Linked DNA regions of Danio rerio. The protein of the gene in region 1 purifies or fractionates together with the protein of each later gene. This does not show direct contact. Links are inferred from orthologs where the notes say so. Each region holds a gene or a part of one and is shown in the gene's direction. Other genes may lie near its edges. The genes, in order: ppp1r10 and tox4a.

Region 1 (17,235 bases):
CCTGCATGCAAACATACAAACCCTACAGCTGCAGGACGAGTGAAAGCTGACGCCAGATCAGTATTTTCACATGCAGGGCTTGTTCTTTAGTCATGATGTCTGGCATTCTTGTGTTAATCTTACATTCAGGTCATGTAATCACCAGCTCTGTTCATCTTTCTGATGCAATGCTATTAAACCTGCTTTGTAACTGATCGCCACAGTGGGAATTTATCAAATGTGAACAGAGAGGACTAGAAGTGTGCCGTGTGATAACGGTGTCTGACTGCTAATGCTATTTACTATTAATGCCACTTCATAGTATTGGCTCTTGCGTTCACATCATTATATTATCATTGTGCTGACATACTGAACCAGCCTCAAACTGTTTCACCCTCACCTGTGTTCATACAGTGATGCATCTGTCTAGAATTATGAAATAAGCAGGGCTGTTGACTCATTGGGTTTGGATAGAAACCGAAATTTAAATGATTTGAAAAAGCAAATAAATGATTTTTGCAATAAAGTCAAGATTTTCAGAGTTTTATTTCATTTTATGCTTCATATATTATGCTTGTCTTGGTAGGAACAAATGTAACCATGTCAAAAGCAAATGTCTATTTTCTTGTGGTCGTTTTAAGTGCTGGCAGAGAAACAAGGCGGATGAAAATTCCAAATTTGCTTTGCTTAAAGAATTTACTCTGGATAAAGCTGTATTTTATTGATAATTGGAATATTTTTTGACTAATTATAGTAATGTGTTTAATGGACTGCTGCTGTTCAGCTGACTAAACATCAACTATTTTAAAAGTGAGATGTGACCAATCACCACAGTAAATGTGTACACAAATTTCAGGACTCCATCTCATCTGACTAAGGTCTGTTAAAGCAAGATTCAGACTTCAGGTTTAAGGTAGTCTTTGTAGATCCGCTTCACTCTTGCCAGTTCTCGCTCGTCTGGTTTTATACTACCATACCAAGAATACCACAGTTCTCCAGAGCTGAGGGGAAATGGAGGAGGAGTTGTGGTTACAGCACCATGAGTGTTTGAATAGTCTTCTTTAGTGAAATCCACATGTGCAAACTGGGCACGAAGTAAACCTTTTGAGAGAGAAAAAATGTATGAGATTATATCCCTCGAGCATGTCCACCAACTTTTTAAAAGGGATTAATGGTGTGTTAACACTTGGCAGGTTTTTTTGAATAAAATATACTCTGTGGCACCAAACAAGTGGATATCAATCAGTCAATTTTCAATAATAACAGGACATGATGTCTCAAGATGCAACCATAAAATTAAATGCTCAAGTTTGTGATGTTGCTTGTGACACTAAAATATAGATGTTAAAACATGTCCTCGCTGCAGATCTTCATTTGTGTATAACGCCAGGCAATGTTTTGATAAGTAGCCTAATCTATTAAACACAAAAACAGTGTTGCATTTTCATCCCAATTAGCGGTTTCTCAACCACTTTTCTGACATGTCTCAAAGCCATTGTCAGGATTTTTTTTTTCATTGTTTATCATGGATACCTGCGTAACACTTTCTTGTTTCCTCTCATAACATCACACTTCTGCCACTATCTGCTAAGTGTTTTATGTAGAGGTCTGACAAGCTGGCTTCAATAAAAATAGAATAAAATAAAAATGCCCAAACCGATTGCAATTTTAGCTGGTTTGAGATCTAATTAGTTTGACATGAACATGAAACACTTAATTAGGTTAAATAAAAAAAAACACACTTAAGAGTTTTTGGTTGGTTTGGTCCAGACAAAAAAAATGCTATATTAAGCCCTGGGTTGCTTAAATTTCACACTATTACTTAACACTGAACCTAAGGATGTAATAAAAACAACTAAAAACTGAAATACTTCTAGAGTTTATATTTTGCAACAGATCTTCCTGAACATCCAACAATGATGTGTGCATGTGATTGTATAAAAACAAATAAGAGCTTATAAGATGTCTGAAGATTAGGCATGGGACGATAACAGTCATTGTATACCGCGGTTTGAAAAAGTCAATGTTTTTAAATACACAAAAAAATGTTCTGCTATACCGTTCCTAATGTATGTGAATTTTTTTTTGTTTATGTTTTTTTGTTGTTGCTTTTTAGGACAACAGTATCTCGAACAGAAAAAATGTCCAAAGATGCCGTTTTAAATTGTAAAGAAATCAGTGTTTTTGAAACTAATGAAGACAGAAGTCAATGATTAATTTAAATTATTTAGCCTGACATGTTTACTGCTCCATAAATTTTAAATGTTTCTCAAAATAAAATATATTGTGTTCAAAGAGAAAAAAGTTGTAGTTTTTTACCCAGACATTTAAAAAGAATACATTTAAAAGGTAATCACAATACCATGAAACTGTGATATTTTTATCCAAGGTTATTATACCATCAAAATCTTATTGACTTTATTCTTCAATGCGGAAGTGTGCATGGTTTTGCGATTGTTTTAGAACTTCCCAATTCAGTTGCCTATGGGAGAAATGACTAGGAATAATAAAACTGCAGAAAACGATCAAACTACTTGCTCTACAAACAAGTGTTTGCATGACTATAAAGACAAAGCAAAATAATATAATAGGAAAATGTCAGTTTGCAACATCAAGCAGCAGAACGAGCAGTTTTTAATGTCTAAAAATGAATGGAAGTAAATGAGACAGGAAGTCTCGAGCCAAAAGTATTCAATGGCTGCACCAGCTCATACGCGAAGAATAAGGTGAATACTGGCCCATGTCTAGTGAAAATGTCAATGCAGCACAGAGAAATCTATAATCAAACGCTGACATATGTATATTAAAATCTGCTTTAAAAGAAAAGCAGTTCTGACAATGTTCAGTCAAATGAACCATACTAAGAGCAATTACACCAGAACCCTTCTAATCCAATCAAAACCTGCCAAGTATGAACACACCCTTTATAAGGCGCTAATTAAAATTGCAAAAACACCAACTTACCAAAATCTTTAGCAGTTTCAATAGCCTTGCTAAGTAGTTTCTGTTGCTTCATGCACACACCTACAGAAAAATAAATGAAATCAAAAGTGGTGATCAGATCAGATAAAAAAAAAATTTCCATTGGAATGTACTGATAAATCTGTTACCGGTTACTGTGGGATCATGTACCACTCCAGTTTCAGGACAAAAGAACTGCTGCAACAAGTTCACATTCTGCAGAACAAATATTGTAAAATTATAATAAATGCCACTAAGCTTTATATATATATATACACACATGTGTATATGTATACACACACACACACATACATGTATATAAAGGCATGCGACAATAAGCATCCATAATACTGTGAATAATTATGTATCATTTAAGTATTTAAAATCCTATTATAGAAGGTTTAATTAATATTCATATTGATATCATAAGAAATTCTGAAACCATTATATGCCTGCTTTTAAGTGTTGTATTCACACACACACACACACACACACACACACACACACACACACACACACACACACACACACACACACACACACACACACACACACACACACACACACACACACACACACACACACACACACACACACACACATATGAATAAAAATGATTATAAAAGCGTCTCAAAAACCAACCTTGTAATGGATAATGATATTTGGATCACGACAGATGGGACACGGGTTCGCACATTTCTTATCTCCTCTCTGTGACAAAACACAAATCATTAATTCATACTTTACTGACTGTGCTGGTAATAATACAAAAATAAATAAATAAATGTGTACTCACAATACAGGTTTTTCTTGTCTTTTGAGGTGGGATCCCACCTTTATGATTCCTCCTGTAGTTTGTCCACACAGGCTTTGTTCCATAGCGTTCAATGTATTCTTAAAAAAACAAAAACTTAAAGTTATTATATGCTGGTATACGTTATTATATTATATGCTATTATATATGTTGACCAGTGTTGGGGGTAAAGCATTGCAACAACACAATAATATTACTTTTCTAAGTAACGAGTAAAGTAACGTTACTTTTTCGAAAATTTAACTAGATTTACTTTTTAGTTTCAATTAATTAGCTTGTAGCGTCCTTCACTAATTGTTCACGATTCATTTATTAATCACATTCCATAGAATTAGTATGTATTTTTTCATCATGAACTAGAGAGAAAATAAACAAAACAAATAAATCCCGAAAATTAAAACACTAAGCCAACATCAACAATTAAACATTAATCTTAAACAAATAAACCAAATTACCTTATTTTTCCCTCAAACCAGGAGCTATAACTCATGAAGGAGGAATCCGTGAAGTAACCGTATACCTGTGCCACTTTTACTGTGTTTCGCCTAGCGTTCCATACTTTGTTTTCAATCATTACTACACGCAATATATCAAGTAGGCTCCGCAATTTTTACGTCATAATTAAAGTCCCCAAACAACTTAATTCATTCAACAAATCATAAAAAAACTAATTCTAAATCATAAACGAATTAACACATTATTTCAAGTTTCTTTACATAGCTTTTAAAAAATAAGTGAATTAAAATTAGTCACAATGTATCAAGCAGTCAATGAGAGAATGTGTTCATTATTTTGAATGCATTTTTTCATTTAAACAAAAGGAAAAGGGGATTATAGTCTCAATGGACAGTGATTTTACTTAAGACAAATGGTACAAAAGCAGCAAACACATTGCTTTAAACTTTTAATAATCTGTATATACGGCATGTATAGCTCATAGCTCAGGGGTCAGGAACTTCTCAAATAACATCCTAAAATTTTTTATTTGTGTTTTTTTTAAAGGTAAATGTGGGTTGTACAGTGCATAAATAATTGCAGAACTCCTCTATTTAAAAAAGAAAAAAAAAGTTCTGAAAGAGGTTAAGCCTGAGCCAGGTAATAAAAAAAGTAACGCAAAAGTAATGTGACGCATTACCAGTGATGTAAAGTAACAAATTATAAATACTCAAATTACTGAAATGGAGCAGTCTTTTCTCAAGAATTGAAATTTAGTAAGTTGTTTTAAAATGTGAATTTTTACTTTTCCTCGAGTACATTTTTAGTGCCGTAAAGTTCTTTTACTCCACTTCTTTCCTTCAACCTGCAGTCTCTACTTGTTTTGTCTATGGGCATTGGCTAAAGTAGAATAATCAGTCCTGTGATTCTGGTCCAACCAAATCGCACATAGAAACAAACTTATATCATCCTAAACCTAAAGACATGCTTTATAAATGTAACAAACTGCTTGGAAGCATTAACAGTGTCCAAGAAGATGGACGACCAAGAGACTGTTTAGATCAGGGGTGTCAAACTCAATTCCTGGAGGGCCGAAGCCCTGCACAGTTTAGTTCCAACCCTGCTCCAACACACTTACCTGTAGGTTTCAAACAAGCCTGAAGGACTCAATTAGTTTGATCAGGTGTGTTTAATTAGGGTTGGAACTAAACTGTGCAGAGCTGCGGCCCTTTTGGAACTGAGTTTAACACTTGTGGCTTAGATGCAAGTCACTGATGAGAAGAGTGATGCCAACTGTATAATGACTGAATTTGTCAACACTAACTAAATGCACTAATGTTACGTTTACATATCCCTGCACAACTTGCATATAAACGCATCAGCCTTTCACAGCATAATGCTCACTACTTGCTAATCTTTAGTACTTTTAAAGGGTCTACTTTTTGCTCATACTTTGAGTAATATTCACAACAGATACTTTTACTCTACTTGCACTACATTTTTGGGCAAGTAATGGTACTTTTACTGATGATTTATCAGTACTCTTTCCACCACTACGCATTTCTTGAGAGGGAGTTGGACTTCTTACCATAAAAGTAACAAAGTAACGCAACTAGTTAACGTTACTTCTTGGGAGTAACTCAATGATGCACCACTTTTAAATATAACATTCCCCAACACTGATGTTAACTATATACTTTAATAGTCATATTTACCTTCACTTTTTAAGTACTCCCATGGTGTGTCTGCATATCTAGATAGCGTCTCCGCTGAATTGGTGTTATCAGCAGATGAAGATGATGCACAATAATTGACACGATGCACCGGAGCGACAATGGACGTTATTCTTACATCACGAATTCTCTGCAATGCAAAATAAAGAACGTGATTCGTCCTCTTCACGTGATCACTTCGCTGTAAACACGACATTTATATAACCACACGTTATATCAAAAACATCAGTTAAAATGTTAATTTATAATCAACAAACCTGTGCTTGAAGATGTCGTTGTAAATTAACGGGAAATGTGCGGCAAGCAACTATCCCAATGCGTTGTAAGGAGGCTGCCATTTTGTCTTTGCAGGAAACACGGAAGTTGTAACGGTTAAAGTGTACTGTGACGGAAGTACGCAGCTTTTATTATTTATCTCACGTTTTCTATTTGTTGTAAAACTAAACACGCGTTGTCTTTTGCAAAGTCAGCTTGTCATGAAAGTCTAGTTTTAGTCTTATACGCATATTATTTGTTGGAATTTAAATGGATTTGCTTGTTTTCAATGGCAAACTATAAATAATTAAAATGAATGTTTCAGATCTTATCCAAGACACAATTAATATGTATTTTTTATCTGCTTAGCCTTAAGTATAGGAAAAATAATGGATTTATTTTACAAGAAACAGCAAACATCAGTGATAATCAAACTGTTATTTTAAGGGTTCAAATCTCTACAATGCATAAATGATCTGATTATCATTAGGACTGATGCTGTTAAAGAAAATCTGTGTGAAAATATATAAATTAAAATAACATTTATGCTTTTTTTTAATCGCAAACATTTCTCTCTTTGGAACTATTTTAATCGACGCAAAGTACATAGAATATATGGTAGATAAACTACATAATTGCAACATTAATGTGTCATTTTGACTGAATACAATATATATATATATATATATATATATATATATATATATATATATATATATATATATATATATATTTTTTTTTTTTTTTTTTTTTTTTTTTTTTTTTTTTTAAAGAGCATATGAATCATAAACCATAGTAACTGGTTGGGGTGGGCTCGTCCTTGAACAAAGAAAGAAGGTCGTTTCGAGAGTGTGCGCGCGACAGGACCGCGTGATCATCAGCTCCATTTTGTGTCGAAAGAAACGCCCGAAAGCGCGCTCGCGCCACTGGAATGACGCAAAAAACGTCAGAACCATATATACCGAGTCCCACCCTTCTAGAGCATTCCTGGATTTGTCTGAGGTAAGTGCTATATCGAAGGACAGCTTTCTTACTTTTTTTCGCGATTTAAAGTGTTTTTGCCCCAACTTTTGGCTACATCATCAATTTTATCAACAATCCGGCCTTTTTGAACATTACCTGGATTTCCGCCTCCAAAAATGCGTTTTTTTCTTACGTTCTCTTTGTCCTGTTGTTTCGTTTCAGGTCTGAGTCGGTCTCAGTGAAGATCTGGCGTCGAGGATTTTTCAACTGTGTACGAAGAGAAAACCCCAAAATCTCTTACTTTTTTCTACTCGAGTAACGGACATTCGCTTACTACCTTTTTTGCTCCAGATTGTTCAAGAAGGAAAATCTCAATTTCAGCCACCACAATCCCGCCCATTATGCCATTTTTCAGCCAATAATGCTTAAGTCATGACAGTTTACGTTCTCTTAAACTGTTATAAAGCTGAAATTTGTTGCTGTTAAGCACAAAATATTAATAGCAACCCGAGACGCAGAGGAGAGGTATTAATAGTAAGTGTTTTTTCAAACCAATTTGAATCGAAACTACGTTAACAGTTAACCAATTGTTTGTGTTATAAATGATTTCAGATATAAATATAGATGAAAGCTTTAGAGAAAGATCGACTGTGGCGACCTTAATGCGCCACAGTTTCTTCTAGAGGACAGACAGCATGCTGAGATAAAGCGAGGCAGAGCTAGCTATAGCGTATGAGCTCACATTGCAAAGCCAGAGCAGCGGCTTCAACGCCCTGTTTCTCTTTGTGTGTGAGACGGAGCAATCCTTACCATAATTAAAGTAACGATAATTCATCGAATAATGAGCTAGCCATCGCTAATCATAAGCAATCTGTACATAAAGATTGCCATAGGCAGAGTCAGGAAGTGACTGCATTCAATTGGGGCTTTTTTTTTATAAACTGCATTCTTTTCAAAGGAGAGCTCACTGGAACAACCAACGCAATCTACACATAAAGATTGCCAAAGTGGCGCCTGTGGATTTAGCCGAACGAGGGAAATGCAACATTTTGTTCATAATAGGTTAATAGCTGGCGGAGCTGTGGATATCGTTGTGATAGTATTTGGTGAAAAAAATAAACCTCCCTAGGCAGTGATAATGTATGAAATGCATAGCAGTCTAAGTATAAAGATTGCATTTTTGTGTCGTGTGCGTAGATGGGGTGTTATTTGTCTTTTCGACTTTGCTTTAAAATGGCGGACGGGTTGTCCTTTTCTTGAGGCAATGGTGGCTTTGTTTTTCTGGCTGGATCTACAGGAAATACTTTAGTTCGGAACGGCTGTCGCGTCGCCATCATCCCCATTTACAGCTTGAGGTATCGTCTTAACATACATGAGTCGCTAGCGGGGTTAATGTAGCATTTTTGTAAGATAAACAGCAGGCGGGGGACATATATCGTATTTTTTAAAAGACTTGTTGCAGTTCAAAGATGGCGACCGTGCATCCGTTCTATTTAGCCCACCGCGTACACGAGGACAAGTGGTTAAAGATAATGGGCGTGGTTTAGCTCGGACTTCAGCCAATCAGAGGAGCCGCTGTCAGCTCAGGGCGAGCTGCTAAATGAGAGGGAGACTTCGACAGATGGCAAATCAAATCCCCTGGTGGCCACTATTGAGCAGACGAAAATAATTGTATTATAGTCAGGCCAACACTGTATTGCTCTGTTGACAAGTTCTCAATCAATCCTTGGTCAGTTTTGTAAACTCGATTAAAAAGTGAATGTAGGTTAACTTACATGGTGTTAAACTGGTTTATTTGTAGCCATTATTATACAAAAAGTTATTAAATATAAATAGTTAAGTTTATTTAAAAAGTAAGCAAACAACTTGTAACATCTTGACAGGTACTTCAACGTTAATGTTTTCTTTACAGTGACTGTACATGAAATCTTGTTCACTTTTTCTTGTTTGTCATGACAACTGACATTTCCAGGAATTGTGTGTATTGTTCCGTGTTTAAGGAGTTCGGTTGTGACTATAAAAAGTTCTTCACCAACAGTGTTACGGGTAAGACAAAACCTGATTTCTCACACGATCAAAAGTGAGTAAGTTTAACTTTTTCGATTCAGCCATTAGTAGACATTTTCAACTGTCTTGAAAATTACGTAGAAAATAAAACGTTGCTAAACTTTTGCATGCCTAAAAGTCGTACAAATCTCCATACTATCGGTTTACGTGTTTTTTAGTTGTAATGTGTAATCTAATCCGTCGCGTTGATAATCTTTCTGCTGTAGTTAGTTGTGTTGAGTCGTCGGCTTCCAGTCAATTGTGCTGTAGAGAGAGGAAATGAAGGCAGAAATACTCGCTGTTGCTCAGCGTGGGCAGGGCAAGTGACGTGATCTCTCTCTCTCTCTCTCTCTCTCTCTCTCTCTCTCTCTCTAATTGACTTGGCTTCCTCAGATCTTATTGATTTCATTTATTAACAAAATGTACATTGTGTGTATATTTGTTTATTTTAATATATTAATCACATTTAATGGACCATTTAATGTCATTGGCCTATGAACGTTTCCTGATTGTTATCAAACTGTTTCATAACTAACAAGAGGCAATTCAATCATAACTTAAATGTTAAAACAGCTATCATAACAATATTTATCAATATGTGTCTCTTTTTGGAAGCTATAGAAATTAAAAATGTAAAACAGGAAACACGTTGGGACCACTGTTTTTGTTTACATCCCTCAAAACTTGTATTTTTACATCACGCAGTTTGCAGTTGTATTTCAGTAATGTAATGAGAGAAATTGTATTTAGAAATGGTCACAAGGTGGCGACATACAACTTCAAAAGCCTTGTGTTCAATTCCACAAAACCTTTGGTGAAAGTACAGTTGCAAGTACGAGTGTTTTCTGAGCTGGACACTGATCCACAAGGCGGGGAATCAAGTCTGCTGGAATCAATTTTACCCTTTCTTATTTGCATGTTTGTTTGTTTTTTCTCAACTTTTGTTCTTACTATATACATGTATATTTATATTAAAAGGTATGGAAAAATGTAATGCATCACAGCTAAATAGTAATTATTAATGAAATATTCCCAGGTAGCTACTTTTTAAATCATTTTATAATTATAATTTGTTATATTATTCATTTAAATATAATTTAACAATTTTTATCCCACCTTGTGGTTTTCGATTTCTGTACACTGAGGATTAAATAAAAACATGTTTTGGGGAAATATTTAAATCTATTACTTAAATTTTTTATACATGTTGGTCTCGCTTCATATTAGAAAATGTATTATTATATAGAGTAAAAACAACAACTTAAATACATGAAGGTGTTATGATAAGCTTACATTGGGTCCCTCACATTAATTAACAGCTTCATACCAGTAAGAAATGTTAATATCTGTAAAATGTTCCAATTTGACACCCTCAGAAATAAGTACAAGAGCTGTCACTACTACTTTAAAACTATTTAAGTATAAATGTGTACTTTTAATATCCAAGTATAAACCATTTCAGTACAGACATTTACATTTCTCACACCAGCTCTCATACCTATTGCTGATAGTGTTATAATATAGCATATTGTTTTCAACACTTCTATAAACTTTAATTTAAACTAGATCATTTCAATGTGGTGATGTCATTGGCCCATGAACATTTCCTGCTTGTTATAAAACTATTTCATAACTGTAGGCAATTCGATCATAACTTTATGTTAAAAACGGCTATCATAACATTATTTATCAATATGTGGACCTTTTTGGATTCTCGGAAGCTATGGAAAATAAAAATGTAAAACAGGACATATATTGGGACCACTGTTTTTGTTTACATGCCTCAAAATGGTCTATAGACAGATTGTATATTTATTCCAGAGTCTTATGTGTGGTTGACTTTTCTGTTTAACAGAAAAATACCATCACTCATTTGCACACCTTTACTGTTTCCTCTTTAGTGTATATTGAAATTATTTGTCATAAATGGGGTAATAGTAGTTTTGGAGGGTTATCATTACAATTTCTACTCTTTCATTACAAATAAAAGAAGTTGTAAAAACAATGTTCAGCTGTAAGTGCATTCTCAAATATTTTTCAGTGTTGTCTTTGCATCCCTCTTATCTCTTCTCATTTATATTTGCAATTTAAATAACTTGACTTGAATGCACATTACTGTCACAGCCACCAGACTCCGTTTTATAAGTCCTTTGTACCTGTGATGTTTACTTTGGGTAATGTACAGTCAGTGTATATATAAGCAGGTGGGTTTATGACAGTGACATAATACATGTAATAACATTTTACTTTTATTTATCTTTCATCATTCCAGATATGAGTCCTACAACGCTCACATAACCAGTCATCCCTTTTCTGGTGTAATTGAATAAGTGACAAACTAATTTAATTATAGTTGAAACTAGAAGCCTTGTCATGTGATCGTTGTACAACTCTTTCTGCAGTCATCACTAATGTTATAACAGATACACCAGGTGCTTCCATAAGATGCATCTTTTGGTTTATTTGGAAGGGATCATACAATTTGTTAGTTCCAGTGTAATCTTTCTTTATTTCTCTGGCATCTAGTAAGAATTTCAGTTTAATTTAGTAATATAATTACATAATTTCACTAAGTTATAAACCAAGATCAATAAGAACCACTTGTTGTTTAATGTAGTAATTTAATTAACAAGCACATGTATTTGTTGTGAATAGAAAACATAATGTATCTCTCTCTGGTTAAGATTGCACTTGTGATTGTAAAACAAATGTAATGGGAACCTGAAAACGGACACTGTCCATATATGATTCAGCTGAACATGAAAACAGTCTCTCCATTCATCGAGTGCATACATACACTGCTGCCAGTAGCCTTGCTGTGTTGTCTATAGTAGTAATACCACCATTTATGCTGAGCTTGTTGCTTCCAAGTTACTTCAGATCCTCATTCGCCTGGGTTAATAGGAGTAACTTTTGAATGATTCAACATTGTCCTTGGGCTGTTCCAGTGAGCTCTCTTTAAGTGTCATCGTCTCATATTTTCAGTATTGATTGGGCAAGTTATGCCATATCTCAGATTCTCCCCAGTGGCAGGAACACATGAATAACCCCCTGTTTTCTCTCCTTCTGTCAGTAAGCAGCCATGGCCGTGGGCCCAGTGGACCCCAGAGAGGTGTTGAAAGGAGTTGAAGCTCTGCTGGGGAAGGATGGAGAACTACGTAGTCTTGAGGGAGTCGCTAAAGTCTTCAGGTTAGATACTGTATTCAGTTTAAGTTTATTAGTATAGCACTTTTCACTATAATTATTGTTTCAAAGCAGCTTTACAAAAGGTGCACGCTATTACATTACAGTCAAAGTCAGAAAAGTTAAGGTGTATAATATATATATATATATATATATATATATATTATACGTACATAACTTGCAGTTATATATAGTGTTCTTTTTTTAAATGATGACTTATATGTGCATATAATTAATTTTTACCACTTTTATTTTCTTGTAAAATCAACCAAATTAACACATTTTTCTTTTTTTCCCCAACAGTCTGATGAAGGCCTCACATAAAATGGTCAGCAGATGCATGTATCTGAACATATTACTTCAGACAAAATCACATGATGTGCTAAATCGGTAAGAAGGAAGCGTCTGATAAAATACAACACAGTTTGATTATAAATCTTTTGTTTATAAGGTTATATCTTTTTGCCACAGATTCATTCGAGTTGGAGGCTACAAGTTGTTGAACTCTTGGCTCACCTACTCGAAGACCACCACCAACACGCCTCTGTTGCAGCTCATTCTGCTGACCCTGCAGAAGCTTCCTCTTACTGTGGACCACCTCAAACAGGTACTTCACCACACCGTGGTTTACATAACTCACACTCATTCCCGCAGTCATCTAACATCTGTTCCTGTCTGTTTTTTGCTCTCTCTTGCTAGAATAACACTGCCAAGCTGGTGAAACATCTGAGCAAGAGCGGAGAGACAGAAGGTAAGAGCACATGTTCCACCAATCTATGCCAGACAGTCTGTTTATTTAGATTCAGAGCTCAAGTATGAACTCTGTGGTTTCTCTTTTTCTCAGAGCTGAGGAAGTTGGCATCTGTGCTGGTGGATGGCTGGATGGCTATTATTCGCTCTCAGAGCGTCTCCAGTGGAGCATCGCCTAATGGTAGGCCTTCTACCTTTTTCCCTTAAATCAGACTTGCTGCACTTTCAATGTGAGTCTTAGGTAAGTGCGTTTCAAGTTAGTGGCAAATAACCCAATCTGTTTTTTATCAGACAAGAAACGGAAAAAGGAGGATGGAAAAGTGCGTCCAGAGGTGAAGCCAAAGGAAAAGGCAGCTGAGGAGGAGAAGAAGAAGGACAAACCAAAAGCTTATGCTCCAAGTCATGCTAAGATCCGCTCTACAGGTAAGTCACCCCTGTTGTTTATATATTACAGCATTATTTGGGTGGAGGGGGTTATGTTTTTGATTCAGAGACATTTGCACTGTTAGCTTTGTATTTGTATTTAGGCTTTAAACAAAAACCCAAAAATCTAATAAATATTTGAATTGTTTCATATATTAGAATTGGCCTTGTTTAAATATTTGTTGTTGTTGTTTTCTGTGCAGCAAGTGAGTGTCAGAATTTATTTATTGTCTCAGATTACACACTTTTAAAAACGCTGTCTTTAATTTACTCAATTACTTTGGTCTTCAGGTTTGGAGGTGGAGAGTCCGGCTCCAGTTCCTGTGAAGAAGCCACCCGTTGCACCCCAACTTGGAGACAAATACAACATCAAGCCAGCTGTACTTAAAAGACCAAGGTAAGTGCCCACTCTAGCTTCATTCTTTCCAGTGAGAAGCAGCTAATCCGAGATTGGTCCTTCTCATTTTATCATGACTGGAATTCAGAAGATTTGAAATGAATCCTTAACTCTTTTTTTTTATTCTTTCAGCACATCTTTGACTGACGCACCACCAGTGGAAAAGAAGTACAAGCCACTTAACACCACCCCCAACTCAACCAAAGAGATCAAAGTCAAACTCATACCCCCACAGCGTGAGTATGCCCATTCAGCGCCTCAACTCCAGCAATACGATTATGATAATCTGCGGAAAAGCTTTGAAATAGTTTCGAGAGAGAAGAGTTTCCCCTCTAACTAGTGCTCAATCTCCATTTCTCTTCAATTAGCGATGGAGGCCACTGGATTTTTGGACGCCCTCAACTCTGCTCCAGTGCCTGGCATCAAGATCAAGAAAAAGAAACCAAAAGCAGTTTCACCCACCAGTAATAAGGTATGCCTCTTTACACACAGCCCTCATTAGACATCTAGAGAATCAAACAATTGCTATAATGAATGTTTTGTTTCACTCCACAGCCCTGTCCATTTGACAGCAGGCCGCAGTCATTTTCAGGCGCACAGGCCAAACCATCTTCCCCTGAAACGCCTTCATCTCAAACCCCTCCTCATGAGAATCAAGAACTGGAGCAGCCTGGCACACCCGTGCCCACCGAGGAGCCTGAAGCCATGGAAACCGGTGGGTTTAATCGCATGTCCATTGACAATAGCCTTCCTCAAAGCTGTATGAGTGAATGTGCTGAGTTCTGTTGAAATGTGTTTGCAGGTGATAAACCCAATGCTCTGGCTGAACCTCGCAGCGAGGAGGAGACTCTGACTAAGAAAGGAAAGAAGAAGAAAAGCGTGCGGTGGGCGGAAGAGGATCATCTCAAAGAGTACTTCTATTTCGATCTGGATGAAACTGAGAGAGGTTAAAAAAAATTCTTTCTAAATGGCTTTAAAGCTGCTTTTGATTAATTGCTGAATAAAAGTAATAAAATTACTCATTTAAATCCCTAAACATTTGATCAGTAGTGCATAATCATATTTCATCATACATATAAAGTATTTTATTTAATAATAATGACTTTTTACCCTTCTACTTTAGTGAATGTGAACAAAATTAAGGACTTTGGTGAGGCGGCTAAGCGGGAGCTGATGATGGACAGGCAGACGTTTGAAATGGCTCGTCGTCTTTCTCATGACACCATGGAGGAGAGGGTGCCCTGGACCCCACCGCGACCCTTGACCCTATTAGGCTGCCTGGTCACTGCAGGTGCCAGCAGCCGAGAGAAGATGATCCAGAGAGACCGAGAGATGGGCATTCTGCAGGAGATCTTCCTCTGCAAGGAGAGGTAAGACACTTCCGGGACTTTTGTTTCATAGTGTGTCATGTTAAAGGGCATTCGCAGTACATTTAACACACTAAATCTCATATTTTAGTTGATTGTTTAATAGATTTCAACAATAATGACCCGGACACAAATTAAATGAGGTTAATATTGTTTCTGCAGTGTTCCAGACAGTCCTCATGAGCCAGATCCTGAGCCGTATGAGCCCATGCCTCCTCGTCTCATCCCACTGGACGAGGTATGTTTTTGTAGATGCTTCCCCATTTTGTTGAATTTTCGGTCTTTATTTTTAGCCATTGGTTTGTTGACACATTTCTCATTTTGTGGTGCTTTAGGATAGCAGTATAGTAGAGGACATGGATTCCACTGATCCTGCCTCTACTCCCGGCTCTAATGAAGGCTCCAAGCTGCCTCCTGTATTAGCCAACCTCATGGGCAGCCTGGGCAACAGCGGCCGCAGCCCGCAGGCACAGGGCAATGCCCCACAAGCCAATAATAATAATAATAACCCAGCTGTTAATGTGCAGGAACTACTCTCATCTATCATGGTAAGAAGAAATACGCATCTACATTGACCTGCTATGATAATGTGAAAAGGCTTTGCTTTAAACGCACCTTTTGCTTGTTTTCAGGGTGCACACGGATCTAATCAGTCTCCAGAAGACCTGATCAAACAGCCGGATTTCTCTGATAAGATCAAGCAGCTTTTGGGTTCTCTGCAGCAAAACCAGAATCAGAACGCGCCTCCCAATGCTCCACCAAGTATGTATTTGGTTTTTTAAATGTTTGATGTATTATATGAGCAATTCCATGCAAATGTCAACCTTGCCATGGAAGTTTTCACCAAAATACTGAAACCGTTTCTACTTTTTTTTTTTTTTTTGTGCAAGCTTTTGACAGTACTTCAAAAATACTTCATGTTTTTGTCAATGTTTTCAAACAATTATATTTGATTTACCAAAGTCACAACAATGCTAATTTCACATCTGTCACATTAATAACGGAGAGATGTCACATCTATGAAAACTTTTTCCTTATAAATATCCATAAAGCTGGAATTGCTCATATCAAGTTTCAAACTAAATTATTAGCTCTTCTGTGAAAGGTTCATTTAATTTTTACTAATTATTTGTAAGGTCAATATTATTTAGCCCCCTTTTTCTGATTGGCCACAGAATAAACCACTGTTTTCCAATGGTTTTTAACTAGCATAGCTTGCTAAGATAGCTTAATTAACCTAGTTAAGCCCTTAAATTGCACATTAAGCTGAATACTACTGTCTTGTGAAGTAAATAGTAAAATATTGTGTACTGTCATCCCTACTAATACAAAACAAAGTTATTAAAGCTGTTATTTTTATAAACGTGTTGAAAAATCTCTGTAAATCAGAGCTTTGTACATATTTGAAAAAAATATATTGAAATACTACAGGAGGGCTAACAATTTAGCCTTCAACTGTATGAGATTTTAGTTTTATTTATTGACTACTATATTACGAATCATGATTTTTAAAATAGCGGTTATATTTTATGTATTTTTTTTTTTACTTTTTTTTTTTACATAGTTTTGTATTTCTGTGTAATGTAATTTTAGTACTTGAGTATTTCATTTGAATTAAGTTGTAAGCAAAGTGCTTTCGTGAATGATTTTGTATTGTTTTCTTTTTCTGTTTAGCTTTGTTTGAAAAATAACTTTTACTAAAACTTTTAACAAAAGTTACAATAGGTAAGCAGCATACTTAATAGTTTTCGTTTGTTGTGATTTGTAGTGAACCCTGGTCTCCTTGGTCATGGTCCCGGCATGAATATGAACAACATGAACAACATGCAGATGCCCATGAATGGTGGTTTCCCTCCAAACAAGCCTCCTGGACCACATTTCAACCATCCTCCACCTCCACATGGTCATGGCCCACCCTTCAATGCCGGA
Region 2 (16,499 bases), on another chromosome or scaffold:
AACTTTGGCCAACCGTGGTCAATCTGGAGAGAGGTGGCGAAGAGGAGACTGGTTGTAAATGTTAATTACGTGGAAATAATTCAATAACACACTACAGCCTGTATCCTAATATTAGTATCTAGCACAGGGGTGCTCAACCCTGTTCCTGGAGATCTACCTTCCTGCAGGTTTTAGTTGCAACCCATATCTTACAGACCTGCCTGTAATTATCCAGTGCTGTTAAGGTCCTAATTAATTGGTTCAGGTGTGTTTGATCAGGATTGGAGCTGAATGATTTTTAAAAGTAGTCCACTAGGAATTAGGATAACGGATTGGATCAAATCTTTAACATGGGTTTTTCAAAAGAAAAAATGGATTACATAATTGGATAAGATCACTTTGATCCAAAAAATCTGGATTAAACTGATCCCATCAGAAAGGTGGATTTCATGCCCAAAATGTAATGTAAAATGTATCAAATAATACTATATTTGGATTATGCAGTATGTAACAAGGTATCCTATTTATTCATAAGGTTTTAATTGTATTTGTTCATCCGTCATGCTACAGTCATTAGGTAGGCTTTAACGTATTCAGTCTTACAGTATAGGCCTACAGCAAAGTAGAAAGAGTTTGGCCTCATAAAAAAATCCCCCAAACAGCTGTCAAAACTGACCAAAAACAATACATTTTATTCTGTCAATATGATCATATTGTATATTCATCACAATGGAAAATATTTTTGTTTTAGAATATTTATTAGTGATGCATGCAATGATTACAGAATAATAAAAAAAATGCAAAGAATGACAATCACTGATATTTAAATCACTTTCAACAATAGCAAAAAGAGACTGAAAGGGCAGAAGCACAGCTTCATCTGGCAGACTAACAACTGACTCTGACCAAACTGCAGCAAACCAAGACTAGACCTGAGATCCGCCCATAAAAGAAATGACAATGCCTGTACTTTGTGTGTATAGTATGCTGCTAAGTCTTACTTTTTGTATGTTTAATAATAGAAAAATTACGATGCCTGTTTTTTATTTATATTGTTTGCAAATATAGACATCAGTTAACATCTTAATGAAATTAAAAATATCCAGATAACACAAACAAAAATGTAAATTTATGAAATAGACAAAATTAAATAGACATAATTAAAACAAAACAAGATATTATGTTGTAATGGCTTGGGGAGATTGAGAAACTACATGAATTTATTCGTTTCAAATTCAACAACGCATAAGGCCATAATTGCTGTTGTTTAAAACGTTTTTTTTTACAATTAAATAACTAACCAACCTCTTAAAGATGGTTGACAACACTGACTGTGACTGGTCCTGCTTGAAGTTCGCTGAGAAAAGTAACGCCAGCCTTGTGAGTTGTGATGATCACAGTAGTAAAGTAAAAAAGTGATGGTGGCCGTGACCATTGAATGAATTACATAAAGTGTGGGGAGTTAAAAGAGAAAAAAATGCTCCACATTACAGGAACCGCGCGGGTCGTGTTAAATACTGCCAGGAGAAGGTTTTCAGGATTTGGACACAAATGAACTTATGACCGGAATGCGATTAATAAGACTTGCAAGTTGCAAACAGACAAACATAGCAGAGTACCGATCGAATCGGTCCATTTTAGCACTGGCAGAAGCTATCCATGCTAGTGAGACTCTCTAGGCAAACTTTGTTTGTTCAATCTGAATATATATTAAAAGTGTACAGTTTATAGTGTTATTTAATGGAATGTTGGATTTTACATTCAGCGAACAGGCGAATTCTCTGCCCTCGAGGCCTGTGTTATGAATGAAACCTCATGTTGGGGTTTAACAGCAGCGCTTCTGCGAACTAGCACGAATTAGCCAGTTAACGTTAGCTCAATTTGTTAGTGGCTAAATTGGTAAGCCTTCACCTACCACTCATCATAAACGCTTTTAACGGCTCTGGTTGTATTAACGCTGCTCTGTGGATCGTCTAATGAAGTTTATTGACGTTATTCAGTCGAGCAGCACAAACCTTATGCCGAACAATACAAGATGCTGTGTTGCTTGGCTCTTTTCTTTTGCTGACTAGCATTATTTCCCATTCATTATTTGTATTTTTGGTTGCTTTAGTCTGTTGCTTTTGGAATATTAGCAGCCCACTCGTTCCTCATATCAAGAAACCCAACAGACATTATTTATATATTTATCTAGTATTTATAGTATCCTCATGGATCTGAATTTTTACACGGAACTCTCTGACGGGACCGGTCAACATGTTGATTCCGAGTTTATGGACAACTCGTCCTACAATGGATATGATTCAGTAAACAAGGTAAGTCTGGCTGCTTTGTGTGTATATATATATATATATATATATATATATATATATATATATATATATATATATATATACATACATATATATATATATATATATATATATATATATATATATATATATATATATATATATATACATATACATATATATATATATATATATATATATATATATATATATATATATATATATATATATTCAGTTCAACGTAACTATATAATAAAACGCGTTTGCATGTGGTTATTGCACCTTTTAACATCCGTTTATTAGTTTGCAGGTGGCAGTGATTCATACCTGACCACCAGTGGACCTGGTCATCATTTTCTTGAGGTAGTGCTTCTTTTTGGACTGTTTTCTGAGCTAGCTTAAATTGACTAAATGTATTATTTTAAGCTTTACAGCGTCAAAGCATGCAATATAATGTTATATATCTTAATTTGTTTCCATTAGTGACTAAAGTGTCTCTGGATTTATTTAAATTTTGTGATCAAAAGATGACTATAAATCTTTTTACCTTGTTTTATAAAATACACCATATAAAACGTTAGCACATCAATAGTTTGTGTTAAAATAAATGCTTGTCAGGAATATTTATAACAAGACTTATATTTATAACTTGGTAAAATATTAAAAGTCTAATAATGATCACACAGCAGCCCCAACATGCATTTATAATTACTGTCTCTCCTTTAAACTTTTTAGTTTTTTACCCAAAATAAAAAAAAGTTTGCAATGTTAAAAAATGATTATCTCTCATCATTTTATATATATTTTTAATTGGCACAAATTTGAAAAAGTATGTTGTTTAATTTTTATGAAATCAATGTGATGATTTTGAGACATTATTTCACTCATATTCTCAGATTTAATTTTCAGAAAGATCTTCCTAATATTAAAGTAGACATTTAAGTGTAATATGTTTTGATATCTTTAATAAATTAAGTTTGATGCAGGCACTAGAATGGGACATCTTGTGTATTTTTTTATATACATGTTTTTATATTTTATTTCTGAAAATTTTTATGCAACTTTCTACCTTGCCATAAAAAAATTAGGTTTTCACCAACATAGCGAAACTCTTTCTAGGTTTTGTTTGTCTAGGCTTGTATTCAACAGGACTGCAAAAATACTCAAAGATGTCTCTGTCAATATTTTCAAACAATTATATTTGATTTACCAAAGTCACACAAGTGGCAAGAGATGTCACATCCATAACAAAGATTTTTCCTTATAAATGTGAAAATATAAAATAAAATCAGTCATTTTTGTTCTATAGAGAGCAAACATGTATTCTTTTGATCATCATTATTTCTTTTAGATTGTCCAATTTAATTCACAGAACTTGTACAAAGTACGTTGCATACTGTAAACTTTTTTGGTCACATCCATCACGTATGTTTATTTTCCTCATATAAAATAAACAAATGTTTACAGATTGATATTTTTCTGATCCCATAACTCTGTGGTGAGTTGTTTTGGAAAATATAAACAGATGTTTTAACAAAGTTAATATATAATTTCTCTGTGAATTTATGTTCTGAGATTTTACTGCAAATGTCGCATCCATAGCGCTGGAATTGCTCTTATGTCTTTATTTTTCATTTCAGAAAACATTCTATACACCCTGTCTGGGTGATGAAGAGTTCGAAATCCCAATCTCCTTGGATCCAGACTCTGCTCTCACCATAGAGGATGTGGAGGCACATTTTGGAGAGCTGGCCGAACAGGCTGAGAGCTCAAGGGGTGCTGGAGTTGGAAGTGTTCTTGCCAGTAATACTGTAGTTGGGGGAAATGATCCATCTTTTGCCTCCACCTTCATGAATCCCTCATCTCAGGGTATGGAGCACCTGACTTTGGGTGTGATGAACCAGCAGGGCGGAAGTGCACTGCTGAGCTCAACTCTGGGTGTGGTAAGCTTTTCTCTTTCTAGCAGTGGCAGCAGTGTCTGCATCGTGTTTGCTAAAGGAAATCCAGCACTTGTTTCTAATGGATTATAAAATGCTAGATAGGGCTGCATGATATTGAAAAGATCTGACATTGTGATATTTTTTTCCTGCGATATTTATTGCGATTTGAATACATTTTAACCAGATGGCTTGAATAGCTCTATTTGGAAAGAAATCCATTTATTAGATTGATAAGGGTTGTTGTCAGATAAATAAATACAAATACAATTAAAGTATTTTTTTTCTTTCTATTTTTAAATATTATTAGTTACCATGCCAACTTTAATGTAATACAGTTTGGTATATTTAGCTTCGGCCCAGCACCCTTAATCAAGTTTGGTTTTTGGCCCTTCGTAAGAAAGTTAGGGCACCCCTGGTTTACAGGGAATTTAGGCACAAATCTTGTAACATGCCCTATGACCCAATCCTACTTGTTCAGTAGTCGTTTTTAAGTGCATGCATGAATGAGTATTTCTAAAAATTTCTTTCTTGACATAAAATTATTTTCAAACTAGTGCTGTATGATATTAGAAAGATCTGACATTGCATTTTATGGTAGTTTAAAAGTAATCAAAATCGACATTCACAATTTATAATCAATCAAATTTTTTCAGATACATTTTTTTTTTCAATTACTTTTCCTACCATTTGTGAATTCAAATGACTCCATTCTGGGCTGATTTATACTTATTGTATTATGATTTGTACTACTTGCATTATTTTGATATTATGCTTCTGCCAAGAGCACATGTACGGTCCGGCACAGCCTTCACATACAAAAAAAAAGTAATTACACATCACAACTGTTATAGCTACACTTTACTGTACAAAGCTTGTCACAAAACCTGTCACTTTATGTAACTTGTTAACTATGAGGGCAAAAACAAAAGAAATTAAATAATTGTTCATTAATCATAATCGAGTTAAATTATTCAATTAATCGAGATTTTAGTTTTAGACCAAATCATATAAAACTGTATAACAGTTTTAAATATCCTGAGAATGCTTTTATTTTTAAATGAGAGATGTGTATTATTGCCTCCATACTTCTTGCTTTTACAAATGACCTTTTAAATGGCTGTTAATGTAATTAGATCTAGAGTGTAGATTGCACTTTCAGATCATGAATCTTTCTCTTTCCCCCTTTTTTTTAGGATCTTGGCCATTCTGTTGGCTCTCATTTCGCTAGTTCCTCCTCCATGACTATTGATGTTCCAATAAACGAAATGAGCCACAGCCTCTTAGGACACAACCAGCTCACCACCATAGACCACTCAGATCTAAGTGCCCAGTTAGGGCTCAGCCTTGGTGGAGGATCTGTGTCAAAATCACCAGACCAACCGCTGTCAACCACACCGTCCCCTTCTGGATCACTGCAGGATGAAGACATGGAGGATTTTAGACAAGTGAGTTTTTGAGATATAAGCCTGTTTTGGTGGCACATTTTCATTATTTTTTCATCTTGCAACATCTCCCGGTTTCTTTCTCAGAAAACCATGCTGGTAGACTCTTTCGCTGTCTCTGAGCCCAGTCCAGCCCAGATATCTGTTCCTCCACCTGTGGTGAGGAGGGTGGGTGGTAAGCCATCCATGGTGCCAGTGGCCACAGTGGACACAGGAGCATCACTCGGGGTCAAAAAGGGAAAGAAGAAAAAAGATCCTAATGAGCCACAGAAACCAGTGTCAGCCTATGCTTTGTTCTTCAGAGACACACAGGCTGCCATTAAAGGCCAGAACCCCAATGCCACATTTGGAGAGGTGTCTAAGATAGTGGCCTCCATGTGGGACAGCCTGGGAGAGGAGCAAAAACAGGTATGGAGTCCTTAATAATGCTCTTCTGTTCATGTACCAGGCTTAAAGATGCAGAATGCAATTAGGTATTGCATTTTTTTTTACATGGTTCCTCCAATAACAACATGACGTACACGCAGGTTGCCAGATTAATGATAACAATAAATTACGAGCATTGCTGAAGATCGTGCCTTATCCTGACTATGTTTGCATGGACATCAGTAATCTAATTATTTGCCTTAATCTGAATAAGACAATAATAAGAGTAAGGTGTTTAACATGAGCTGCTTTTTGAATGTTCCTTTCATGATCCTGTTTTACGTTATAGTATATAGTTCGTTAAACGTCTATACATCAACATTCAACACTAATTTCATTCAGCGTTTTACATAAGTTCGCGTTCATCATGGCACCCAGTGCTTCCCACTCATAGACTTTGCTCAGGCGGGTCGCCCAGGAATATTAACAGCTGCCCAATTGACACAATTTTTTAGTATTATTGTCATACTTTTACACTTTTTGTATCATCCCAACATAACCAAACATCCGCAATTGATTAAGTAGGTGAAAATTATGTTGAACTGTCAACACTCCCACAGACAGTCTCAAGTGCTCTGCAGACCCACAGAGACGTGCTTTTTTTGGGACTTTTTTGGGAAATTTGCCTGCCCCCTGTTTCTAAAGCTGCTAAAATGTCTGGGATTCAGCTTTTGCTTTTACATTTTAAAGCTGTCATTATGCGTTTTTGCATTACATTTTTATTTAAGCTTACTTTCGCTTGGCGTCACAGCTGACAGCGCAGTTGCGAGAGCAAGAGAAACATTAAACAATTCATTCTCTAATCTAAACTGGCTGCAAAATATATGTACAACATTAGTAATGGTTAATCAATGCGTCTGCCTTATTTAAATAATCTACACGTTTTAATCTTGTAATTATGGTCATTTTAGAGATATTGTCTGTTTTTATTTATTTTTTTGTTCATCATTTGCTGTATATTTTAATTTAATTATGTCAATATATTGTGTGTTTTATATGCATATCAAAAATGCTTTGACCTGCAAGTTTGCTTTAAACTTGAGAGGGAGAAGCAAGTTTTACCTGTCAGTGGGTGCACATGGCTCCTGAATAGTTTTTTTTTTATTTTATTTTTTTTACTTTAACCCATTGAAAAGAAACCATGTATAACAGTGTCATAATAAATACAATTATTGTTAAAAATTAAATTGTTTTGTTTGTCGCATATTGTTAACTATTTATTTGATGTGGGTAAATGGTGTGTTTTAATCTGGCTATCACCACAAGTATATTTCAAACCTGTGGGAAGCACTGGCACCATATGTGATTTTGGATGTTTTGTTATTAATTTCAGTTTAAGTTCAACTGCAGTTAATTTCTCACACTATGCATGCAAACAAATGACAGCGGATACAAATTCTCAAGTAACAGGCCACCTCTGCCATTTCATACACTAGCTTTTCATTTGTTTGTCGTCAAATGCCTGACAACTACCATGTGTGCATCCTGTCGCAAAATGTAGTGAAAAGTACTTCAAAACAGTAATAATTTGATTAAAGTGTTTATGTCTGTACTGCACTTCAATAATGCCCCTAAATTACAGATACTTCACATCTTTGCAATGCGATTACTGTACAGTTTGATTCTTACTTTAGTCAGAAGAATAAGGTAATCAAAAATTTCTGTTTACATGGTAGACTCTTAAGAGTATTGACTTAATCGTATTAACATTGGAGTATTGGTGTTTATGTAAATGTGCTCCCTGTAAGCTAAACAGCTGATGGTTATGTTGGGAAACTTTCAATTGTTTGCAAAATAAAATCTCATAGATTTTTATGACTCTTGTATCTCATTTCGGAGGTTACTGCTGTCTTCCGGAGGTTGCAATTTTAGCTGCGCCTGCATACACTGAGGCAGCCTTCAAAACTGAAAAGAAATATGGGGTGTTTTCCACCAAGGCAGCCTGGTGTGCTGAAATATGATTGGGTAAACTGGCAGTGGGCTGGTTATTGAGACCAAAACTAAGACAGACATTCCGACATGGAGCGCACATTTTCAAAGGAGAATAACAGACTTGAATTCTTGTTTTTCAGATAAACAAGTGTTCACTTATGCAGAGTTCAGATTTGCATGAATAACAAGCGTTCACTTATGCAGAGTACAGATTTGCATGATTTTTTTAAAGTAGTCGCATCATGGATGTTTTCACACTGCATGACTATCAGGGGCAGCATTCTGTCAGTGCTGTTTACACAGCAAGATGGATCGGCGACAGGGGGTTTCAAACCACATGACTTTACAATAGTAGAAATCGGCGGCAACTTTTGTCTTGGTCTGCAAACTACATTTCACAACCAAACACGCGAGATCAAGTTAAGTAGTATATCTATAGTCGATAATTAGATCAAAAGAGAAAGACGCCTTTAGTGGGGTAGAAAATGTACTTATTTTGCTCACATGACTTTTGAAGGGAATTTGCTATTTCTTCTCAACATTTTCTTTTTCGACCTGGTTGTGATATTGCTCTGACACGTCCAACAGACACGAGTGCTCTTCCAAATTTCTACTAGTTTTCCTCTATTTGTTGGGTCCAAATAGATGGAAAATAAGTGCTTTTAACTTCTCCCCCAACCTCTCACTGACCCTCAGATACCCATACTAGTGGATGCTGCTCTCTCATTGGCTGTAGGTGATCGCCGATGTAATTTTCAATCAGAACACATTTCACACGGCTTGATTATAGATTACCGACAGCTCCACATATTTAGCATGTCAAATATCTCACAGGTGTCAGCGACTCGTCTGCAATTCTCTCAGATCTTGTCTTTGATAGTTCATACTCTGTGATTGTTACAAGGCATTTGTCGGCGATTTCACAAAACCTGTTGGCGAGTCAAAATCAGAGCTAAAATCATGCAACTCGGCATTAGCATGTTTCTTAAATATCTGCAGATGTGTTATGGTATTTTTATGATTTAAAAAAAAATCAAAACCTTACATACAACATTTTTAATTTTATTAGTGGTTTGTCACTTCACTAAATGATTTAAGACACATGGTGTAAAAGCCTTTGTTGTACCATTTAAGAGTTTGTGTCATTTTTAATTTTCATTTTATTAATTTTCGCAGGTTTACAAGAGGAAGACAGAGGCAGCTAAGAAAGACTATTTGAAAGCGTTAGCGGCCTACAGAGCAAGTCAGCTCTCGAAAGTGAGTGTCTAATTTCTAGCCTGTCAGTTTCTGATTTGCACATTTATCTGATATTACTTATTTTTTCAACGTCTTTCATCCAGTCATCTTCTGAGCTTGAAGACAGCGCTCCTGCCACTCCTCCCTCTATGCCATCTCCTGCCCCCATCCACACTCCTCCTGCTGCCCCCATCCGTCCTCGGCTGACCCCCATCACTGAACAGAACACAATCACCAACATATGCGCCTCCAATATCATCCTGGACCTGCCTCAGGTCACCACTCGCTCCCGCACAGGCTCTCTACCTGTAGCCATTGGTCAAGCTCCAGCACCAAGCCCCGCCCCGACGCCCACTGTCACCAAAATCATCATCTCTAAGCAGATGCTTCAAGGAGGCGCTCAGCTCCACCAGATCCCAACATCCATGGTCACGGTGATTCCAGCTGGTGTGCGAGCCGTACAGCCTGGACGGCAGCCGCCACCTCTGCAGCAGATGCAGGGCACACCGCCTCCACCCCGCCTGCAGCAGATGGTGCAAACACAAGCCCCTCCGCCTCTTCAGGCCAAACCCCGTGGAGGAGCAGGCAGTTCTGTGGGCATCACCGTTACTCCACCTCCACCTCTCCAGATAAAGATCGTGCCCGCTTCAATACACTCTGACCTGTCTACTCCGATTATTGTTACTACAGCAGCGAGCGCCACTCCTGTGATTTCCGCATCCAGCATCTCAGCCGCAGATGATCCTGCTCCCGTTGAGGTGCAAGTGGAGGAACCCAGAGAGGAGCTGCACACCGGGACAGATGAGGCTGTGACAGAGGAGCCTGAAGAGGTTTGCTTTCCCATATTTAAAGGGATGGTTCACACACAAATGAAAATGTCCTCTCCATTTATGCACTATTAAAGGGGTGGTCCACTATCATATAATATTTTAAGCTTTGGTTGATGTGTAATGTAGCTGTGTGAACATAAACATCATCTCTAAATGTAATGCGCTCAAAGTTCAATGCAAAGGGAGATGTTGGCTTTTACAGAGTTAGCTTAGCAAAGCCTACAGCAAAAGTTTGGGGACTACAAACAATACATCTGGGTTAGTGAGATCACATACACTTCAGGTTAGGCACATTCACCCTGCACAGTGAAGGGGCATGGTCGGAGGCGCTGTAATGTTATAGCAGAGAAGGCTAAAATGCCATGCAAATGCTGCTATTTCCACAGAGCATCTTCTGTTTCTGTATTTGAGCTTCCAAAGGGCATGGCACAAAGAGAGAAGTGCTTACAATTTAATTTTAATTATGTTCCAGGCAATTATGATAAAGATATAGCTAGCATTTGACAAGGGAGAGCATCCAGAATCTCTCACAGTTCAGTGCTGGATTCGGCTAAAAACTCCTCAAAGGAGGAGCAGATCCAACCACTATATAAGAAGCTGTAGATTGTGAGCCACAACCTGTAAGTATTTTTATTTGTTAAAATTGATCTATGACATAGTGTCTAGCGTTAACAGTATGTTAAAGCAAGGGCTTAGACAAGGATATAAACAACAGGAAATGCTGTTTGGCACCGCTAAAAATTAAACTACAAATTCATATTTATCCGTCAAAATGCTGTGAACACCCACAACCTTCATCAGCACTGCAGTGTCTCTCAATGCAGACGCTTTCCCTGTGTTCTACATCTCAAATAACAAACTCACAAAAGATATGAGAACGTTTTATATTGCTTAAACATGCTTACAACCTAAATGTATGTAAAGTTTGTTCAGGCTGAAACTGATACGGCTAACAGCTACTCTGACAGTATTTACACAGCAAAGGCACAGCGTGTGCTATTAGAAGTGTGACGCTTTTCCTGTTGACATGGAGTCGATCTGCGAGTCACAGCACATTATGGCCCAATTCCAATTCTCCCCCTTAACCCTTCCCCTTACCCCTTCTTTTGTGCATTCAGGTGAATGGGTAGGGGTGGCCCAATTCTCTTTAGCTTAATAGCGTAGGGCTCAGGGGAAGGGCTTGATACCCCTTCAAAATGAGATTTTTCAGGACCACACTCGAAACCAAGGGGTAAGAAAATTTCCCAGAATACACCAGCCGCAACGGCAGTATAGCTGCACCAGAAGTCAGGAGATCCACAAATTAGTATTTATTTTGTCGTTATTACGAATTTTTACGACAAACAAGCATGTTTTAATATATTCATAACAGCATTTGTGTTTTACCGTCATGGTTTAAAAAACAAAAACACTAAAATAAAAACTGCTAATATCGCTATCTATTATCCCTAATCATAACTCCTGTATAGCAGTTACACAACATTCTGACTCTCGATGACACTCGAATCCCCTGTCAGATAAGTCTTGTGGTTGGGAATGAGCTCGTCTGCTATAATGTTGATTTATTGTGTCTGCATAGATGAATATGGCTACGGTGTAAATACACAGTATAGTTATGATCTTATTGCCACATTATATCGTTATGATAAAATAATATATGACTTGAGTGATTTCCTGAAGATAAATACCAAAAAGAACACAACTGGAATAACTACAGCAGTCCCGATCGTCTGATCTCATATGAAGCAAGAGATTGTGATGACGTATGATGGTGTGTGCAGGTGCTGTAGTGTCCCAATTCTTAGGGGTAAATTTTTAGGGGTACAAAAATAGAATTGGGATTGGGCCTATGTTAGATGACTAATTAGAGCCTATTGAGGGATAGTAACTAGGAAATATGACAGTTGTTTTCATGTTAGCTGAGTAGCTGTATATAATCAAAGTAAGGTATATGAAAAAATAGCGTGATTTTCAACATGTGAAGCATGAGCACACATTGCTTTGCATCTTATAAACACAACCAAGCCTTAGAAATACACTCTGGACCACCCCTTTAAACACAAAAAACACACATTGACATCAATAGTAGGAAGTGGCTGCTGCTTTCCAACATATATACAAGATATCTGCTTTCATGATCAACAGAAGAAGAAAAAACGCTAACAGGTTTGGAACAAGTAGAAGGTGAATAAATGATAGAATTCTCTTTTTTGGGTGAACTGTCCCTGTAACAATAAAACAGCTATTGTTTATTCTGGGGGTGGGAAACGATACAATATTATAATACTTGTCCTGATATAATATTATTTAGGATTTTTCAAATGTATAGCAATATTCTGCTATATACACATGCAGTGGAAAATGGGATTGTCAAGCAGACAAACACTTTAATGAAAACCTGCCATTAACGTTGTGTACACCTTTCTGTGATGCTGCCATCCAATTTTACTGCATGCATGCTGAAGGTTGCTCTGCTCACCAGAAAAAAACTCAATGGCACCATCTAGCGGACCGTTATGGAATTATATTATTCGTTCGAATAATAAAATCAAAGTACTGGCGCTAGAGCGTCATGACTGTAAGTGTATCGGCATGATATTATCTTAGAAAATATTGTCATACTAAGCTATATGAATGTTTTACACCATCTACACCATTTAGGTTTAAAAGTGTCTCTTGAGTAAAGGAAATTTAGTAGCTGGATGTACATTATTGAGCTTGCAGTGTGGCTACTTCCACTGCTAGCAAGTTAAAACTAGACCAACATTTATTGAATAAAGTTATAAGACCACTTATTATTATCATTATGTTTTAAAAATCTTATATATCCATAACCGTGTACAAAACACTCATCTACACAAGAAAAACAAGGCAGCAATGTTACAATAGGCCTACTAATAGTAAGGAAGTCCTCTGCTTCACCTTTTGCAGTGTTGTTTTCTTTTTTATTATACTACCCGCAGTTAGCTTAGCATGCTAATCAGATGACAATTATTGTACTGCAGCTCTACATGCACAATACATACATCACCTATACCAGGGGTGTCCAAACTCAGTCCTGGAGGGCCTGTGTCCTGCATCATTTAGCTCCAACTTGCTTCAACACATCTGCCTGGAAGTTTCTAGTATACCTAGAAAGAGCTTTATTAGCTGGTTCAGATGTGTTTAATTGGGGTTGGAACTAAAATATGCAGGACATCGGCCCTCACCTTTACCATCTAACACACACACAGAGTTATTTACACAATAATTCATCTATTATTAAATATATGAAATAAATGATATCATGTGATGTTAGTCCAAACATGTCCGTAATAAAAACAAGCACCAAGATTTTTGGTAAACCGACAGCTTTAACCAAAAAAATGGCCAGTCTGTCAGATGTAGAAGAGTCAGAGATCCAATTAAAGAAAGTTAACTGAAGATTAGTTTCATCAACAGTGTAAAACTGTGTTATTGCTACTGTTTACTAATTAAACTTGATGACATGATAAGATCAGATACAGATGGATATGCATCACAGCATTAATCTCTGGGCTTGTTTTTCAGATGGAGATGGAGGTCAGCGTGGCTCCTGCTGCCTCCTCTTCAACAGCTTCTGCTAATCTGTGTGTCCGAGCCGGATGCACAAACCCAGCTGTGGAGAGTCGAGACTGGGATAAAGAATACTGCAGCAATGAATGTGTGGCCACACACTGCAGGTGAGGACTGCAGATATATTGAATATCACCAGTCTCAAACTGGATTCATGGAGGGCCGCAGCTCTGTACAATTTTACTCCAACCTAAATCAAACACAGCTGATCCAACTCAACTCATCAAGACTACTAGAGACTATTAAGCAGGTGTGAGTTGGAGGTGGTTGAAGCTGCAATGAGCTGTGGCCCTCCAGGAATTGAGTTCAAGACCACTGCTGTAGAAGCATAATCGTTTTTTCCCAGTTGTTGTTTTTTTCTGTGTGGTCAGTTTAATTTTGCTAACCGTAAGTGTATACTGTTTTCACAGAGATGTTTTCATGGCCTGGTGTTCAATCAAGAACCAGACCTCAGCCGCTGTCAAATAAACCAAGCAAATCCCACTGATACTGGCTCTGATTGTGCCTGGACGTGTCTTTTACAAGTTAACATGACGATGTTTTACTGGAATTGCTAGTGAAGGTTTAGTGTTTGTGTTGTAAATATTGAAAGCATGAAAAGACAATTGAACAAAAAAAAAAAAAATCACGGTCATAAACGGAGCTGTTGACGAATACCCCGAACCACAGTCTGAACACTTTCTCTTCACTGCTGAACCTCAGAACACAGTGAAGATCATCCTTCATTTAGATTTGTATGTATGCTGCTTGTTATTTGTGTTAACCTGAGAAAATTCTGAACTGTTATATTATTTTCTAATGTAGTCATATTGATGATAACGGTATTAGTGAGCCTCAAACAGTAAAGCAATCATTCTTCAGATCTTTATTTCATGTGCTGACAGTGTCTTCGATCTTGCCTTAGTTATGGGGAATTTGTTTTGCTGACTTTTTTATATATTGTATTACAGAAAGTACTCAAGTATTAATAAATGGCAGCCATAATGGACCAAGTTTCAGAAATAATTGCTGATTACACCATCTTATTGTGACTGATTTGTTTTTTGTCAGTAAAAGGATGAACTGCAGATGTTCCCCTACTGGTAGATGTGATTACAGCTGACTGTCTGTTGATCATTTAAACAAATGTATGATGATGATAAAAATAAACTTTTTTTCCCAGAAATTTATCTCAAATAGTATATATATATATATATATATATATGCAGTCATTTTAGTTAAGAAATTATATTTACATGGCGTCAATGAGTTCGTTTACATTTTTTTATATTACAATGCCTGACTTAAAGGGCACCTATGATGAAAATCATCTTTGGTAAGCAGTTTGGACAGAACGGTGCAGGTATAGTGTGTCTACAGTGATATTGGGGTGATATAAAGACAAGAAGGCTCTCTTTTATTTGTATTTATTTATTTTTTAATTTCTTGACGTTAAATTATAATCCAAATCACTTCCATTTTGAGGCCTGCCACAACGTGACATAGGAGGGCGGTTTTCCCGCCCACCAGATTGATTTACAGCTGCGTATTAACATGTCTCCGTAGTAACGTGTATATTCATATCAACAAAAGGATACGGGCAAAGACACCGGGAAAAAAAAAGATGTGTTCAGCTCTCTGATCATCAATCATCATCAAATGTGATCAAGAATGGGTTTTACAAGTTTAAAACCGTGCATGTCTATAATCATTACAGCGATTTTACTGTCATCACCACAGTCGTGTGTCAGTACAATTATAAAAGATGCTTTAATCCTGGTTTATGGACGTTAAATAAGGTTTATTTTGTTCATTAACCTAACATATCCTTACAGCAGTGGATATTAACATGTATCCTGTCACATTTGTTGTGCAAAACACTGCAACTTGCACTGTGTGTGTGCGTGCGTGCGTGTGCGTGTGTGCGTGTGTGTGAGTGCGCGTAAACTGTTACGACATTGTGTGACCGTTGCAGGCTTGAATAAACTCCACAACGAACACATCAAATAATCATTGGGAAAGTTGTTACTGTAGTATTTCTCACAAACACTACGTGAGATCTGCTTCATGTCTCACTGTGCTGTTCATCTGATACAGCGGAGATTGAGGCATACTCTGAAAGACACGGTGGGCAGAGAGAACAAGAATTAAGGGCACAGACAAAAAAATCAGCTTCATTGTGTTCAAAGCAGAAAATTCTAACGTTCTGAAAGGTATAATAAATAAACTGATGGGTGTTTTGAGCTGAAACTTAGGACACATACTGGAGACACACAAGACTTATCTTAAAATAAGTCTGAAAAAGGGGTAAAATAGGTGCCCTTTTAATGGCAAAGAGTGAATTCCAGAGCTTTATTATGGAAGATTGAATGTGCATCACTGTTTATTCTATATTCTAAAGTTTGGAATCGCTTGTTTTATTGCTTAATTTTTCAAATCTATCATTAAAAATATATATATATATATTTTTAAAATAGTAAATATAATAAAAACCTTCATTAAAAATAAAAAATGAGCCCAGTGAACTTTATGAACCATATGGTTATTCGTTTATTAGAAAGAAAAAAAAAAAAACTTGTCTTTTCATAATGGCTATGTGGAATGGCAAAACAGGATGTATATAATAAATGCTTTTTTCTTCTTTATAAACTCACATGCTATAAATCCACAAATCTGTCACTAAGGTTTTTCTTTATATCAAACTAAAGCATGTAATCAAGAAAGCATAGATGGATTATAAGAAACACAAAGGATAGAACAAATAATCTTTGAAAACTTGAGATTAAAAAAAGCTGCTTGGTCCAAACACAGAAACAACAGTTAGAAAACGCATGTAAAAGCTATAATAAT

Evidence for each region.
Region 2: the proteins of ppp1r10 (region 1) and tox4a purify together in Homo sapiens (affinity purification with mass spectrometry; 3 studies listed by BioGRID and IntAct, counting the BioPlex papers as one, with this or other methods). This does not show direct contact. The link is inferred for Danio rerio from reciprocal best matches to the Homo sapiens genes PPP1R10 and TOX4.

The regions. Positions count from the first base shown.
Region 1 is NC_133194.1:32,883,487-32,900,721, reverse strand, and holds the start of ppp1r10 (serine/threonine-protein phosphatase 1 regulatory subunit 10), read left to right. Parts: upstream 1-7,160; 5' UTR 7,161-7,179; intron 7,180-7,362; 5' UTR 7,363-7,674; exon of another isoform or gene 7,675-9,023; intron 9,024-9,112; exon of another isoform or gene 9,113-9,186; intron 9,187-12,259; 5' UTR 12,260-12,268; coding exon 12,269-12,375; intron 12,376-12,672; coding exon 12,673-12,759; intron 12,760-12,840; coding exon 12,841-12,976; intron 12,977-13,068; coding exon 13,069-13,120; intron 13,121-13,213; coding exon 13,214-13,300; intron 13,301-13,410; coding exon 13,411-13,542; intron 13,543-13,833; coding exon 13,834-13,939; intron 13,940-14,071; coding exon 14,072-14,175; intron 14,176-14,307; coding exon 14,308-14,411; intron 14,412-14,494; coding exon 14,495-14,654; intron 14,655-14,741; coding exon 14,742-14,885; intron 14,886-15,062; coding exon 15,063-15,309; intron 15,310-15,468; coding exon 15,469-15,544; intron 15,545-15,641; coding exon 15,642-15,854; intron 15,855-15,938; coding exon 15,939-16,068; intron 16,069-17,074; coding exon 17,075-17,235. Other genes in the region: mrps18b (small ribosomal subunit protein mS40), read right to left, coding at 875-1,080, 2,944-3,003, 3,090-3,156, 3,583-3,651, 3,737-3,834, 5,905-6,052, 6,180-6,260.
Region 2 is NC_133177.1:41,089,747-41,106,245, reverse strand, and holds tox4a (TOX high mobility group box family member 4-B), read left to right. Parts: upstream 1-1,608; 5' UTR 1,609-2,189; coding exon 2,190-2,294; intron 2,295-2,573; coding exon 2,574-2,633; intron 2,634-3,910; coding exon 3,911-4,213; intron 4,214-5,403; coding exon 5,404-5,655; intron 5,656-5,739; coding exon 5,740-6,060; intron 6,061-9,186; coding exon 9,187-9,267; intron 9,268-9,350; coding exon 9,351-10,076; intron 10,077-13,625; coding exon 13,626-13,777; intron 13,778-14,080; coding exon 14,081-14,138; 3' UTR 14,139-14,827; downstream 14,828-16,499. UniProt on the Homo sapiens protein: Transcription factor that modulates cell fate reprogramming from the somatic state to the pluripotent and neuronal fate. In liver, controls the expression of hormone-regulated gluconeogenic genes such as G6PC1 and PCK1.